Linked DNA regions of Chlamydomonas reinhardtii. The protein of the gene in region 1 interacts with the protein of each later gene in a pairwise test. Links are inferred from orthologs where the notes say so. Each region holds a gene or a part of one and is shown on either strand. Other genes may lie near its edges.

Region 1 (8,208 bases):
GGCAGAGACCGTGAGACGGGCCAGGGGGATGGGGGCGAGGAAAGTTACGAGGGCTTGCGCTCAGGGCTTGGGCTGGAGGGAGTACTAAAAAGAACTGAAGGCACAACCCTTGAAATATAAAACACGAAGAGGCTGGAGCAGCGAGCAAGAAACCCAGCGAGAAACCCGTTGAAACTGCACTCGACGACGTGTCCGCAACGGGCAAGCGCACTACCAGCCCTCCAGCCCCTACCTGTCCTTTCTCCCCGCCTCCCCCCGACGGTACTCGGCGCACCTTGTGTTGCTTCGCAGCATAAAATTCATCGTCGCTGCGCCCTGCGCTAGCTTATGACTCGGGGAAAGGTTGATGCGGAGTGCCACTGCGTTGCAGGACCCCGGATCGCGGAGCAGTATTTCCGATTTCAAGCATCAAGGCCGCTGAGAAACATTCGGGACCGAGCGCGCCGCCAGCTACGCCAGCGATCGTGCCATGCATCCACTTACCGGGTGTGAAGAAGGGCAGCTCCAGAGTTCGCGCGTATACATCTGGCCAGTTGTAAAACAGCTGTGGCTTCTCGTTAGTCGTGAAAAGCGGGTCGACAATTGTTGACGATACATCCGGACAGACTGGTAATGGCATCCTTGCCGCCCACGCGACCACCAGCGCCCCCACGAAGGCTGCCCCAAACAATAAGTCATTGTACATGATTGGTACTGAACGAAGTAGTCATTGTTGGGACTTGCTTGTACGTCTGGAACCGCTCGGGGGCGTTGTCGACGGGCATGCGTGTCCCGAATGGGGTACGAGGGCACGCTCCTGACACGCTCCACACCAACACCAGTACGCACGTGAAGCCAAGTAGCCAATCGATAGACGACATGATACTTCATAGCTTAAGACAGAGTTTTAGGTCGTTGGGCCCAAAAATCGCTTGCTCGGCACTGCCGCATGTCTGTCGCAAGGCCATTCTATTCTTGACCCAGGACCGATACCGTCAGCTATGTATAGTATGTGTAGGCTCTAGGTGCTGACTGGAAAGCAAGCGGACATTCCTAGCGCGAAAGCGAGGGCAAAATGTGTGGAAATGTCGCCCACGTGTTCCTCAGCAATTTCCAGGCCAGAGCCCACTTAAGAGTTGCTTTTGATGCTCTAAGTTCATATTGGGAGGATAAGACGCTGCGGCATCGGCATATGCCCTTCTGGGCAGGCCTGCAGGCCCCCAACAAGGCCCGCAACCTGCGGAGGGTAGGGGCTATGCCTCCAGTCATTCCCTCCCCAGCGCGCCAGTGCTTCATATTACCCATACCTGGCGTATTGCCGTATTGGGGCAGGTAGCCGCCGCGGGGGGGGGTCCGTGAGGGTAGGGGATAATGGGGCAAAATTGCGGTTGACACGCCGTGTCGTACAGTTCACAGACCACACTTGCAGGAGCTACAACCTTGCCCACGTCTTACACGGTGTGATACGGATGTGCTGCGGTTTTCAGTTCCTAAGGTATCGGTGCCATCGTGTCGATAACGTGTCAGGACCGTGACAGCATGGCAGACGCAACCTTGACTAACAGCGCCTGTGGACATGAGTTTGCTGCCACCTAACCGCAACACCGAGCGCATTTGTGCCCTGGTGCCTGACCTGACTATCCTCTCTTTTGAGCGCTCTTATGAGCGCTTCTGCTAATGCACAAGTGTTACAGGCCGCCCTCGCCCGCGGACTGTCACTGTTCAGCCGGGCATCCGCCATCCGCCGAGCCCCTCTTGCACTCGACGCGTTCCATACGATGCAAAAATGTACCTGTCCTACACCAACGGGAGTACGAGGGCTAGCGCTGAACAGATTGTCTGTAGCTCCTCACATCACGGACCTGGGCCGGACGGCATGATTTCCGCCCCCTGTTACCCTTTACCTTCTCAGATCTTCTCCTCCGTCCACTAGCCCCGCCCCCATCTTGTATCTTCCCTGGCAGCCTGGCTCTCTCGACTGCCACCTGCTCCCTCCTTCCCTCCCGCCCCTCCCGCTCCGCTTCCCCCTACCTGTCTAATTACCTGCAGCTTCCAGCCGCAAAAAAAAGGCCGCTCGTCGACAAAGCGGCCTAATCACGCCACAGCCTACAACCTAGTACAGCAAATGCATACAAGTGCACGCACTAGCTGCAATAGCTGCCGACCTGGCAAGGGGCTGGTTGCCAGGGCCCTGTGCAGCATCGCCTGCGTACCCGGGTTGCGTAACTTGCGGCGTAACTGTTGTAATTACGGTACTTGCGGGTACTTGCAGGTAGTCAAACACCTGTATGTCCGACTCCGCGGCGCCTGGACGTGGAGGGGCCCGAGGGCCCCGCTAAGTATCTAACTCCCAATACGGTGGGAATATGTTGCACAGTGCGGGACTACTCCACCCTGCCCCTTACCATGTCCCATCGCACCCTCTAACTCTGAGACCAGGAGAAGATGAAAGGCCGTGGACATGTAAAGCCCGTGTCCCTTATGGCCAAAATGGCTGTATGCGCCTCACATGGCCCCATGGAAAGGAGGAGCGCGCATCACGTGCCCGGAAACGTAGGATCGCTTAGGACTGGCCATTACCAGGGATTGATAAGCACCTGCAACTACCGTGTTGCGCCTCCGGACTCAAAAGGAGTTAGTGGGGGTTAACCGATCCCGTAAGGAAACCGTCGCGCGGCAAGGAGAACTGCAGGTGCATGAGCGAGTCCTTGTACATCACCGCAGGTAATCGGGCGGGCTTGGGCACTGTAGCGGCAGGCGGGGCCACATGGACTCTAACCCATGTAAAAGCTCATGCTCGTGCTCCTCAAGTGGGCACGGGGCAAGACAGCGCCTCCGCGTAATCGGGGTCAGCTGCGCAGCCAGGTTCTCCCAGCCTGCCAGCCTGCCGGCTTGCGCCGGCCAGCCAGCGGACACTCCGTTGTGACATACCGTAGCGCGCGACCCGGTAAACGGTAAAGCTGTAATCACCGGCGCGGGGTGGGTGTATGGGAGCAACTGGGCGTCTGAGTCGGCTGGCACGTATGCACCGCCGGCTGACGCGGGTGGTGTCCGACAGTACGAGAGCCATTAGTCCTGGTGGACATTTCCGGCCTGCTGCGAACCGTGTCCGCGAACCACAGTCTGGCGAGTGCCCCACATATGCTGCGGCAGGATGTTGCTTGTTGATAGGGAAGCTTGGCCGCTCAAGTCGGCGAAGCGTCACCGGAACTGTTTCGGGCGCCAAGCGCAGTCCGTTGGCCACTCCCACCCATACCACACCCCTGCCCATGGTGCGCTAGCCAAATGTACACTGTAGCTTACAGTTCTGTTGGAACTCCGTCTCAATAAACCTGCGCTTGGCATAGCAGCTCGCCTACAACTGCATTGTTGGCCTAGTCAGCAATGCTCAGAGTCAGAGCAATGCTGGGCAGTCCTCCCTATTTACCAATGCGCATACTAAACATCAAACTTGCTTCATGGTGACACATAATTTCTATAACTGACCGCTGGCCGCGAAGTCCAGCTCTTGGGAGGCAAGGCAGGGGCACAGAGGCCCTTTGGGCAAGGACTGCATTTTAGCTTGAGCTGTACTTCAAGAATGTTCTCATTCCTTGGTTGTTAAGGGAGCAGCCAGTATGAGTCGTGCGGAGCGGAGACAGGCTGCAGAGAAGGCTCAGAGGCTCTAAAACGTAAATGAGTTATTTTGTGCCGACCCGATTTGTATGGCGATTCGGAGGACGTCAGGTGAGCACAAGGCCTCGGCGGTCGCGGGCTCTGCGCGGGCGGGACGCAAGCTGTGACGCCGGCACGGACGGAGACCCGGTCGTTTTGTCCCGCATGCAGGTCCACCTATGTGGTTCCTTCACCCGCTGGGTCGAGACTGTACCGATGGCACCCGTGGACGGCTCTCCTGGGTTGTTTGCAGTAGTCGTGCACCTGCCTCCCGGGTGAGCATGTCGGAACGCTGTCCCTCGTAGGCTGGCCAAGCCGGGTGTCTTGCATGGCCAGGAATGAGACGATTGGCTGCCATGACTTGCAGGTATCATCAGTATAAGTTCATTGTAGACGGCAGGTGGCGGCACGACGAGACCGCCCCGTTTATGCCAGACCCGCTTGGCAACGTCAACAACTGGCTCTTTGTCCGGAGAATAGATCCTTCTCCAACACCCCTAGCAAAGTGAGGCCGGGTTGAGGGACTCGAGCGGGAATTGCGCGCCACATGCCCGCAATTCTCTTGCCGCTGGGCACCGAGCTCGGCACAAGGGAAGCAGATGCCCTTTGAAGGACGCGAGAAGCATTACATGTCACGCTGGGGGATGACGGGGGTGTATGTTGCCTTGCAAACACACAGGAACCGCTTTGCAACACGCCCAATTCAACCCTTGCCTGTGGCGCCTCGCCTCCCCCCCTTTCACCCCACGCAGCAACGTAGCCTTCGACCCGCAGCAGCTCGTAGCCGCGCAACAAGCGGCCGCGCTCCAGGTCGCACAGCAGCAGGCGGCCGCGGCACAGCAGCAGGCGGCGGCACAGCAGCTGCAACAGCTGCACCCCGCGCTTGCCAGCGCCTCCCTCGCGCCCGCACCGGGCGTGTCCGGTGGCCTGCAGGTGGGCGTGCCGGCGCAGACACTCGCCACAGGCATCGGCGTGGGCGGACTCGGCCAGCACCCGCACGTGCCGCAGCAGCCGCAGCCGCACAGCACGGCGGTGGGCCTGGGACCGTGCCTCACGCCGCAGCAGCTGCAGCACCCGGCGGCGCAGCAGTCGCAGCAGCCGGGCCAAAGCCAGCAGCACCCCGGCGGCGTCCCAGTCGGCTCGGGCCTGTCCCTGCAGCCCCCCGTGGCTGCACAGGTTGCGCCACAGCAGGGCGACGTAGACATGGGCGGGACGGAGGCGGCCGTGGTGCCGCCCATAGTGATACACAACCCCAAGGAGCCGGTGAGGGAGGCGGCGCGCGAGCAGAGGGGTGGTGGGGAGGTGGGGCAGTGGGGCGGCTGGCAGTGGCCGGCAGGCAGAGCGGGCGGGTGTAGCCTGCTGCTACGGAAGGGTGATGTGGATGGGACGCTTTGTGGGGCCGGGGCGGGGGCTCCTGGGGCCCATGCCGGCCCGCGTGCTGTTGTGTGGCGGCGTGGGGAGCTCCGGGTGGTGGCACCGGCGCTGAGCTCACCGCCCTGACTGCTGTCGGTGCCTGCAAACCCGCACTGCCGGATAGGGGTTGCGAGGGTAGGGAATGGGGGTCGGGCGAGAGGCGGCAAAGGGGGGCGCGCCGGCTAGACGGAGATATGATAGGTACAGACTGGCTGGCTGGGTCTACCGGTGCGCCATCTGCCCTTTGTGCAGGAATACACTCGCAAGAAGATTGCGGACTTCCTGCACAGCCACACCGCTTATGAGCTCATCCCGGAGAGCGGCAAGGTGGTGGTGCTGGACGTGGACCTGCCCGTACGCCAGGCTTTCCACGCGCTGCACGAGCAGGTGCGAGCGGCCTGAAGGCGTTTAGGGGCGCAGGGGCGCAGCGGTTGGCATCAATGCCGTGGGAACCGAAAGTACGAGGCATTCCAGGAATCTCCAGTGCATCAAAGGCGTGGGCAGGGGGGAGCGGTGGGGGGTTTTAGATACCAGCCCAAACTAAACCGAAGCCAAGGCAAAAGAGCGAGGAGGGGGAGTAGGAGTAGGTCGGAGTGCTGGGTGTGTGACGGGCGGCCTTGTAGGTGCCTCTGTAGGCAGTACCACGACGTCGGGGTATGCCGGGTGTGGCGGCATCTCAGGGCCGTGTGTGTACTGGCATAGAAGACAAGGCCAGGCCGGACCGCCCTGGTCGCAGGCTGGGGGCCGGGGAGCCAGAAGACACGGAAGGGGCAGGGACCGCATCAACACCCGCCACGCCCCCAGCACATGCAACTGCATCCACAGCAGCGCCTGCCCGTTGCATTTTGTCGTGGTGGTGGTGGTGTTGTGTTGTGCACAGGGCACTGCCTCGGCCCCACTATGGGACACTACCACTCGCTCCATCCCCGGCGTCATCAGCGCCTCCGATTTCATCACCATACTGCGCCGACTGCGACACAGCGTCAGCGCGGGAGCCAACCCGCTCAGCGAGGCGGAGATGGACGCGCACACCATCCGGGGGCTGCGCGAGGAGGCGGCGGCGGAGGGCCGCGAGCCCAAGGGCCTGGTGTACGTGCTGGCAGATGAGGACCTAGCCAAGGTGGGCGGGGAGGGGGGTAGAGGTGGCCGGGCGCTCATGATGGAAGGTTGGAGAGGGCGGAGGGAGGCAGGGGCGCAACGGGTGCATGTGCTGAAGGGCCGGCGCTGGGGGTGCTGGGTTGGCCTCGGGCGCCGGCTGGGAGCAGGGAGCTGGCACAGGGGGGTGGGACGCGTGTAGCGGGCGACCAGCGACGTCCCTGTGCCCCAGCCCCCGCTTGGCGCCGCGCGCCTCGCCGCTTGTTATGCGTCAGCTCGCCGCCCTTACCTGCTGCTGCTGCTGCCTGTATGGCTGCTACTGCCGCAGGTGGTGGCTCGCCTGGCGCAACACAAGTGCTCCATGGCGCCAGTGCTCAGCGGCGACCCGGGAGGACCGGAGGTGCGCACCAGGGCCATAGCCGCGTGTGTGTATGTGTGTGTGTGTGTGTGTGTGTGTGTGTGGTGTGTGTGTGTGTTAAAAAACGAAACGAAAGCCCGCCCAGACGACGCCGGAGTTACTTACGGATACCTACCAATTTACCGAGCGTCGCGTGGTTGCCGTCACCCAGGTAGTCATACTTACCCGCGATAAGCCTGTAACCCCACGGGCGACCATTCGGCCTGACCCCGCGATGCACCTGTATGCGCCCATGCTCCGCACCCTGGGCGCGCTAAACAACGTTTACCCAGCACGCGTAATTCCCGTATTCCCGCCCGCTGGTCGTAGTCGAGCTCACCTATAAGCATGGGAATGGAAAGGCATTGGGCGGCAGCACAGAAGTGTCACGGACATGTGAAATGGCAGCGGCGGAAGAGGGCGGCGTGCAGCAAGCAAGCTATCTAATGTCCTAACACGCATCCCAAAGCCCACCCACTGACTATGCCCGTGAAAGGGAACGAGTCTGGGGCCGCGCGGCTGCAAATAGCGCCCGACTGCATGGGGCGCATGGCGGGCGGCGGTTGCAGAGACGCTGGGTCGGGCTGACTCGGCTGGCAGAAAAGGGCGTGTGCCCGTCACCCCCGAACCCGCGCATAACCCGTATCCCGCATGTGTGCGCAAGTGTCAGACACAGGCTGGTGTGTGTGCGTGTGACGCCATGGGCTGGCGGGAGCTGGCCTCCCGCTCCTGTGTGTGTGTGTGTGTGTGTGTGTGTGTGTGTGTGTGTGTGTGTGTGTGTGTGTGTGTGTGTGTTAAAAAAGGAAACCAAAGCCCCCCGTGTATGCGTGTGTGTGTGTGTGTTGAAAAGCAACAGAAAAAACAAAAGCGCAAGACAGTGTATGCGATGCAGCAACGCGACGGCATACAGATGTTACTTGAAGTATCCGCGTATACCCGTTGCTGAGCCGCCACCGGGCTTACCAAAACCGGAAATTGCGCAACCCTCCGCTACCATAACCTCGAGGAGGGATTAGTGTCCACACGCTCTCAAGGGTGCACCCCATGCATGTGCTCACGGTACCGTGAGGCTCAGGCACTCCTACGATTCCTAGCTCCGCGTCGCTACTCCTGGCCGCTAAGCCCAAGCTCCCGCCTTATCCTCGATAAAATGCTCACCTGCGAGCGAATAAAAAACAACAGAGCACAGGGCGGCAGCAGGGGAGTGTCACGAACAAGAGCGAAGGCTCACGTGTGTGTGCGCGCGTGCGCGCGCGCGCGTGTGTGTTTGTGTGTGTCAAAGAGCACAAGGAAAACGTTGCGCAAAGACTGTGTATGCGATGCAGCAAAGCGACGGTTTACGGATGTTACCTGAAGTTACCTCGCATACCTGCTGCGGTGAGCCGCCGGTCTTACCAACCGGAAATCGCGCAACCCCCGCTACTCTAACCTCGAGGGGGGATTAGTGTCCACACGCTCTCAAGGGTGCAAACCCATGCATGTGCTCACGGTACCGTGAGGCCCAGGCACTCCTACGATTCCTAGCTCCGCGTCGCTACTCCTGGCCGCTAAGTCCAAGCTCCCGCCCAATCCTCGATGAAATTCTCACCTACGAGCGAATAAGAAAACAACAGAGCACAGGGCGGCAGCAGGGGAGTGTCACGAACAAGAGCGAAGGAACATGTTAGCGC
Region 2 (7,152 bases), on another chromosome or scaffold:
CTGGTGTACTTGACGGGCGGCGGGTTAATGAGTCAAATTGAAAACGTGGCCAGTTGGGTCTGTACACATCCGTAGGGTTGGGTCTGTACACATCCGTAGGATCATTCATGCCTTCGTGCCACACGCCCACCAGGCCTGCACAGCGTGCCATAGCGTCGCCTACACAATGCCACCCTCCGTATTGTAGGCTCCGGCCAAAGAGACTCGAGGCCAGCCGGGCGTTTGGGTAAGTTACTAGTACAGTATCATCAAGTACACCGGCACGCAGGAGCAAGGCTCCGCTTGTCATGCCATACCTACTAGCTTGACACGCGGCGTGTCTCTCGCACTCAGCCAACAATCCAACACGTGTTCGAAGTTGCACAGATGTCCCACATTCCATGGGCAGTGAAGCGTGGTCAGTCTTGTCGTGCTCTTGCAAGGCGCCGAAGCGTCCTGGCACATTCACGCGCACACACGGAGTTCATGGACACGTGCAGGTAGGGCAAACATGCGGGTAGCTACTACGCGCAGGTAGCAATGCGCGTCCTGCGTTCCTGATGCCATGTGAGAGATGGCAGTGCGCGTGGGCCCAAGGGAACCCTTGCGTGGGCCAACACATGCCGGAAGCGTACCTGGCCCAGGCCAATAGCCTACGTTGCACTCTTCTGCCCTCGCGGCCTTGCCCACTCGCCGTGCATCTACCCCTCACCAGCACATCAAAAGTACCACATTTGACGTCAACACTCGTACCAGTACAATTGGCGTTCTCTGCTTGTCACCTTGGAGGCTCTCAAAACTCAAAAATGCCCTGTCACACCAGGACGCCACGGACACGCCATACAACGCACCCTGCCGCTGAAAGACAGCAATCATTGAATATTCGCCAGCGGATGGTCCGGGCGGTAAGCACTCAGGACACTACGTAGCGTCGTAGCATTTCCGTATAAACCCGTTTAAGAAGCACGCAGATGCCCCAAACGCTGGTGCAAACGAAGCATCATCACCGCGCGGCGCGCCTAAGACTCTGCAACCTTTATCGTGCAATCGGTACCACACCCTTGCTTGCTGCACCTGCTGAGGCAAGCTATGTCAATACATGCAGTCACGAGCAGCACTAGCTGTGACAGCAGGCGACAAACGTAACATCACGCCAGACCATGTGGTCAATCAAAACTGCGAGAAACCTGCTAGCGATCTGCACGAACACCAATACCTTATCGCAGCTTTCTACCCTGCGTGCAGCCCTGCGGCGCTCTGCTGCGTTCCTACTGGTCGCGGCATCGCGTGGGTGTGGTGGTGATGGTGGTGGCTGTGGTGCGGCTGTTGCAGTGGTGGACTCCGAGCGGCATCAGCAGCTCCTGTTGCTGGGGGTGGCAGCTGCTGTGCGTGTGCGGCAGCAGCAGCTGCTGCAGCCCACTGGGGACCGGGCAGGCGCTAGCGGCTTGAGGCACGCCGCTGTAGGCGCTGCTGCTGCTACTTTTGCTACTGCTTCCGCAGCTGTCGCTGGGTGTGGTGCTCACGACCAGGATGTCCTCGTCTGTCCCAAACGACCGCCGCGCCGCGTCCAGCGCCGCCGCAGTCACCCGCAGGGTCTGCACTTGCGCTGCCGGGTCGCGTATGGTGTACTCCTGCATGCAAACGTCATGTTGGGAGTCTCAGAGCAAAGTGGATGTGCTCCACGATTTGGAACACGCCCGGCGTGCATAGAAATGTGCACCCCACGCATGCACGCCGCGGTGCCAGACCCGGCACCGTACCTGTGTGCCCGCGTCGAAGCCCACAAGCAGCACGTAGTGGCCCGCGTAGCCCAGCTCCATGCCGCACAGCACCGCCGGCAGGCACATGGACATGGACATGCCGCCCATGCCGCCGCTCCCTGGCTCGCCTGCCCCCAGCCACGGGTCCAGCTTGCGCTTGTCCACCAGCACGATGATAAGGCAGCCGCCCGACAGCATCCACGACTGCGCACGGCAAAGGTACACCCGTCAGAATTGGGCGTCATGTTGCGGCAACTACCAAACTATGCTTTGCCAACGGATACGTACATAATTAGCTGGAGGGCCGCCGCCGCCGCAGCGGGGGTCCGGTTGCCCTGCAGACTCTTGCCCAGCCCCCGCGCCAACCCCAGCCCCGGCGCCAGCCCCGCCCCCGCCCCAACCTCCGCCTGCACGCCCGCCCCCATCCCCGCCCGCGCCCCCGCCCCCGCCCCGCCCAACCCAATCTAGCACCGCCCATACCATCCCAATCCTTGCTCAGCCCAAGCCTAGCTCAGCCCAATCTTAACCTGCCCAGCCCAGCCCAACTCCGGCTCCATTAGGGCACACCTGCAGCTCCTCGCTGCTGACCGAGCGCTGCTCCACGGCGATGCCCACGTGCGCCGCCTCCACGAACAACTGGCTCACGCGCCGCTCGTCGTCCTGTTGTGCACAGCAGGGGAGATAGGCCAACGTCAGAGAAATTCAGCGGAGGCGGCGGAGAAGACGGCTTGAAACCGTAGCACGCGCGCCCAGCAAACTGGGCAGGCAGACTAAATCTGCCGCACTCCAGTCACGTGCAAAAAAGACATTGTCCGGGTACGCATACTGCTTACCTCCATGTTCTCCATGTAGAATGACTCGTTGGCGTACGCGGGGTTTGGCCCGAGCGTGACCGTGTAGAAGGACACGTGCAACCCAAACCGCCGTAGCAAGTGCGCAAGATCTACCGTCCAGATGCTGCATGGCAGTTGCAACAATCATTGTAAGCCTACGGCAATTGATACACGTGTGGCATAATCTGCCAAAACACACCGGTCCCGGGGCCGCAGCCCAGTCGCCCATGCTGGCAGCTCGTGGCCTTCGCACCTGGTGGTGGTGCACAGCTGCCGCAGTAATCGATAGTCACAGTGCGAGAAGCCGGCTGCTTGTATGACCATCTGAACGCACGCTAGACCACAGTCCCTGCAAGTGCAGGTAAGGTTGGAGTCGTGAAGCATAGGGCCGCGACCTCTCCCCGGTCAAATCCTTAGGAGGTACATAAGCGCGCGCCGCGCAGCATATGTCCTGCCAGTATTTGTTGCTTTGGAGGCCACTCCTACCCCTGTGACGCCGGCCAGACCACTCTCACCAGCTGAAGAACTGCTTGCAGTGTGGGACGTGGTGGTGTACAAGGGCCTGGTGCGGCCCGGCCTCCCCGCAGGCAGCGCCCGTGCCGAGCCTTGGTGCTGTGGGCGAGCACCCCGAAAGCTCGCTTCCAGAGCTTGCAGAGGCCGCTGCCGAGGCACACGATGAAGAGGAGTCCGCGGGTACAGTCAAGACGAACGGCGCCGGTGCCACTGAGCCGCTCGTCGAGCTTGGCGCGCACTGGGGACCATCCAGGCCATGGTCCCTGGCGCCAGTAACGTCAGCAGCAGGCCCAGCTACGGTCATACTCTCCGGTGGCATTAAAAGCTAGGTTCTACTTCGTCGAAAATACAATTTATGGCGAAACTGAGGTCCTACATCATTTGCCCGCGTGTCACCGAGTCGCTGCTGCAGTGAGTTGCTGTGCGCTTCCTTGCGCTTCACTGCAATAAAGTAGGAAAATTGCAGACCCAGCGTGTCACTGGGTGGAGTCGGGTTTGCAAGGGTTGCAAAGTTGTTGTGGAACAATCCAACGATTGGACCAAGGGAGTCTTCTGGCAATTTTTATTGGCCTTAAGGAATTGTAGACGAGTGTAACTCTACCAAAAGCAGGAGAAACTTGCCCCATTGAGCCGAGACTTGTCGATGGAAGGCCGAGCCTGAACCAAGACCCAACACCGAAACACTGCAATATCCCATCATACCTCTTAACACCTTTTATCCTGCGGGGGCCCCGAAGAGCGCCCGTGTCCACGTCGGCACAACTCAAGCTGCTTTAAGCGCACCGCCTGGAATTATCGTCATTGCTGTATTATCCTACTGTGCTGACTTATTAGTGTAGCGAATTGTGGAGAGCATTCGAAGCCTGGCTGGCTTGGGCCGGCTCGACCGGCTATTCCGACGTTGGGAACGCAGCCGACGCCCTTCGGGGCTGCAGACATAAGACATGGTGAGCCTGCATGTATATTCAGCAGCCCGTCGCAGCGCTGGCGCTTGATTTGGAGAGCCCCGGCACAGTCAGCTGGCACGCAAGCCGTTCTGGTCGGGTCGCAGGTCGGGTCGGTGCCGCCCCGCAGCTGCTCCTGACTGGCAGGACTATCAGCAACTTGAATGCATGCGTACTGTGTGCTACGTGAGGCCATATGGTTGTTGCAGGCCGTGCGGAGGGCGCAGTAGCGGGGCACTTTCGGACACGCCCTCTGAAGCCGGCTGCGGATGCTAGACTTGGGCAGCTCGCAAGTTGTAGGCGCCTTCATTGCGTCTCAATGCATAGAGCCCGATCCCGTTGCCGTCTCACCCATCTTCCCTATTCCAAATGTGCCATATCAGGGAAACACCACATCCCACAAGCACGAGACTCCGGGGGGCACGGAGCACGAACACTATGCGCGGCACGCGTCGCCGCCGCTTAGCCCCGGCTCGCCGTTGACCTACAGCCCGCAAATACCCATGGAGCCGATCGCGCGCGCTGATGAGCTGACAGCCGCCAACCGCAACGCACCTGAATTTCACGGGGTGGCAGGGTGGCCAGCGCAGCCAAAGCTGATGCCAGTGGTCATCGTGTGTAAGTAGCATGGGTCGTGTTCACGCGGGGCCGTGCAAACGATGGTGTACTGCCTCAGACGCCTGCTTAATTACCGTATGCGCCTAGTGTAATCAATTAAACTCTGTGTTGAGTTGATATTGCAGCAGGCTTGTCGAGTCTTTGCATGTAGAGAGTGGGGACGTGCACATGTTTTTGCTTGACACGTGTCTCTGCGTATGGAGAGCAAGGGGCAGGGGCCGACACCGTCTCCTGTGTACAATTGTGACACGCGCAGGGAGCCACGGTGGGAGCCACGTGGAGGTGGAGGGCTCGTTTGACAACTGGACGACGCGACAACCGCTACAAAAGTCCGGAAAGGACTTCACCATCATCAAGCTGCTCCCACCGGGCGTGTACCAGGTGTGGCGTGGCAATGTGGCTTGGCGGCACGACTGGGCGCGGCCACCTGGAACTGGCACCCGGCATGTCCTCTATCTAGGAGGCATGAACACGTGCAGGGCAGCGAGTAACGCGGTCGGTGGGCTACCGCGCGCACAGAAGGCGCGCACTGTGTGCTGCACCGCATGTAGTGTCCGAGCTGTAATTTCTTCCTGCTTCCCAACTTTGCCGCCCCGCAGTACAAGTTCATTGTGGACGGCGAGTGGAAGTACGACCCCAACCAGCCTGCCATGTTTGACGAGATGCGCAACGTGAACAACGTTATCGAGGTGCACGAGTACGTTCCTGAGAACCTGGAGGGAGTCAGCGGCTTTGACCCGCCGCCCTCGCCGCCGTCCAGGTGTGTGAGGTGGAATGGCGTGGCGTGGACTGTACTTGGCATGGAGTAGTAGGCTTCGTCTGCGCTGGTTTTTCCGGCCCTGTCCTGCCAGTACCCACCTTCCCATGCACTCCTTCCCGCCCTCCCCGCTGCCCTGCAGTTACAACTGCCCGACGCCGGTGGCAGACGACTATGCCAAGGAGCCGCCCGTGATGCCGCCACATCTGCAACTCACGCTGCTCAACGTGCCGCCGGCTCTGGATGCCCAGGCGGTGCTGCCGCGCCCGCAGCACGTCATCCTCAATCACGTGTACTGCCAACGGGGGCAGGTGAGGCAAAGGGATGCGTCGCTCCACACAAAACGGAAACCCCGACATAACGGCGTTCGGGTTGGGGCGTGGATACCACGATTGCATGGATATCACGCCGGCGCCTCTCGCTAACTTGGAATTGGATCCCCTTGTGCTGATGTATGGTTATCGGACGCGGTGTGTCTGCTGCTCCTGCAGAGCGTGCAGGCGCTGGTGGTGGGCACAACCAGCCGGTACAAGTCCAAGTACATCACCACTGTCATGTACAAACCCAAGGCACGGCGGCGCGTACTGGACGGAAGCATCAAGACCGACCAGTAGCGGACCCGTACGCCCCGCACGCCCCTAGCTAGTGGGAAGAAGCGGACAACGGGCTTGAGCCCTGCTTTGGGTCACGCTCAGGACATTTGTGTCGTCTGGGCGCTACAGCGGGTTGTTGCGTGCAGGTGCTATGGCCTTTGTCTTGACTGGTGTCTGGTGCTGGGGGTTACATTGAGTGCGTGCGCGGAACACACTCATAGGATTGCATGCATACGCGCTGAGTGGGTGATGGTATTGGTGGGACAAGGATGGATAATGCTACAGGTGCATTCTTGTACAGCAATGATGCAAACTCGGTGCCTTTGGCGGTCTCCACATACTCTCACGACCGTTTGATTGGCATACCATCCTGGCAAATCCGTGGCCATCGGGGTGTTTTACGGTACGATGGAGGCACAGATGGAGTTGAGTCCTTACGTGGTTTGGTACGGCTTTTGTTTCCCGTTGGGTGCGATGACCCTTGGCTGACCGGGCAGCGGCAGACGGCGGCAGTAACATGTCATCCCTTGGCCCGCATAAGCCGGACACTTGTGGGGCACACGCTGGGCTTGGGCTCGCCAGTGACCGCAATGTGCGGCAGCGGCGGCGGCACACATGTGCCGGGTTCTGCTATTTGCAAAACCATTCTACTCCTTCCGTAAACACGCGCCGTCAGGCGCGTCATCTGATGACGGGAACGCCAGTGGCAAACTTGCAATGAGCGGACGAGGATAAGTGGAAGCAGCCGCAGCCGCAAAACAAGGCGCTAGTGGCGCACGTGACAGCTTGACCCGCCGACCTCAAGCAGCAGGCGCCGCTGCGGCCAGGGGGCCGCTGCTAGAGTATCTGCTGCCTACGATGCCAGCGGCGTCATTACTGGTGGCGGCGGCAGCTTGCCGCAGCAGGCGTCGCCTCCGCCCCCGATGGAAGCGCGCGGGTGGCGCGATATCCCCGCATCGGACGAAATCAGCACGGCATTGGGGCGTTGGGTGGGCACGTCGGTGTATGTTGTGAACAGGGAGGACGGAGACTTGTGGTTTGGGGTTTTCGTGTTCGCCTGTCCCTCCCCTGTTCCTAACCGCACCTGGACAGTTCCGCGCGCGCCCATTCCGATGAGGCGATAACGTTTTGTACCTGACAGTTCATCACCGAGGA

Evidence for each region.
Region 2: the proteins of CHLRE_12g484350v5 (region 1) and CHLRE_10g457500v5 interact in binary tests that used the Arabidopsis thaliana proteins (3 or more experiments, as listed by UniProt). The link is inferred for Chlamydomonas reinhardtii from reciprocal best matches to the Arabidopsis thaliana genes SNF4 and AKINBETA1.

The regions. Positions count from the first base shown.
Region 1 is NC_057015.1:138,634-146,841, reverse strand, and holds the start of CHLRE_12g484350v5 (uncharacterized protein), read left to right. Parts: upstream 1-3,425; 5' UTR 3,426-3,654; coding exon 3,655-3,705; intron 3,706-3,804; coding exon 3,805-3,908; intron 3,909-4,000; coding exon 4,001-4,138; intron 4,139-4,385; coding exon 4,386-4,896; intron 4,897-5,298; coding exon 5,299-5,433; intron 5,434-5,926; coding exon 5,927-6,166; intron 6,167-6,469; coding exon 6,470-6,541; intron 6,542-8,208. Other genes in the region: CHLRE_12g484400v5 (uncharacterized protein), read right to left, coding at 275-359, 484-685; CHLRE_12g484375v5 (uncharacterized protein), read right to left, coding at 675-860.
Region 2 is NC_057013.1:5,295,487-5,302,638, forward strand, and holds CHLRE_10g457500v5 (uncharacterized protein), read left to right. Parts: upstream 1-3,777; 5' UTR 3,778-4,029; coding exon 4,030-4,032; intron 4,033-4,412; coding exon 4,413-4,647; intron 4,648-4,903; coding exon 4,904-5,028; intron 5,029-5,246; coding exon 5,247-5,407; intron 5,408-5,546; coding exon 5,547-5,715; intron 5,716-5,895; coding exon 5,896-6,018; 3' UTR 6,019-6,650; downstream 6,651-7,152. Other genes in the region: CHLRE_10g457450v5 (uncharacterized protein), read right to left, coding at 1,248-1,610, 1,740-1,943, 2,307-2,399, 2,573-2,696, 2,826-2,921, 3,088-3,389. UniProt on the Arabidopsis thaliana protein: Regulatory subunit of the probable trimeric SNF1-related protein kinase (SnRK) complex, which may play a role in a signal transduction cascade regulating gene expression and carbohydrate metabolism in higher plants.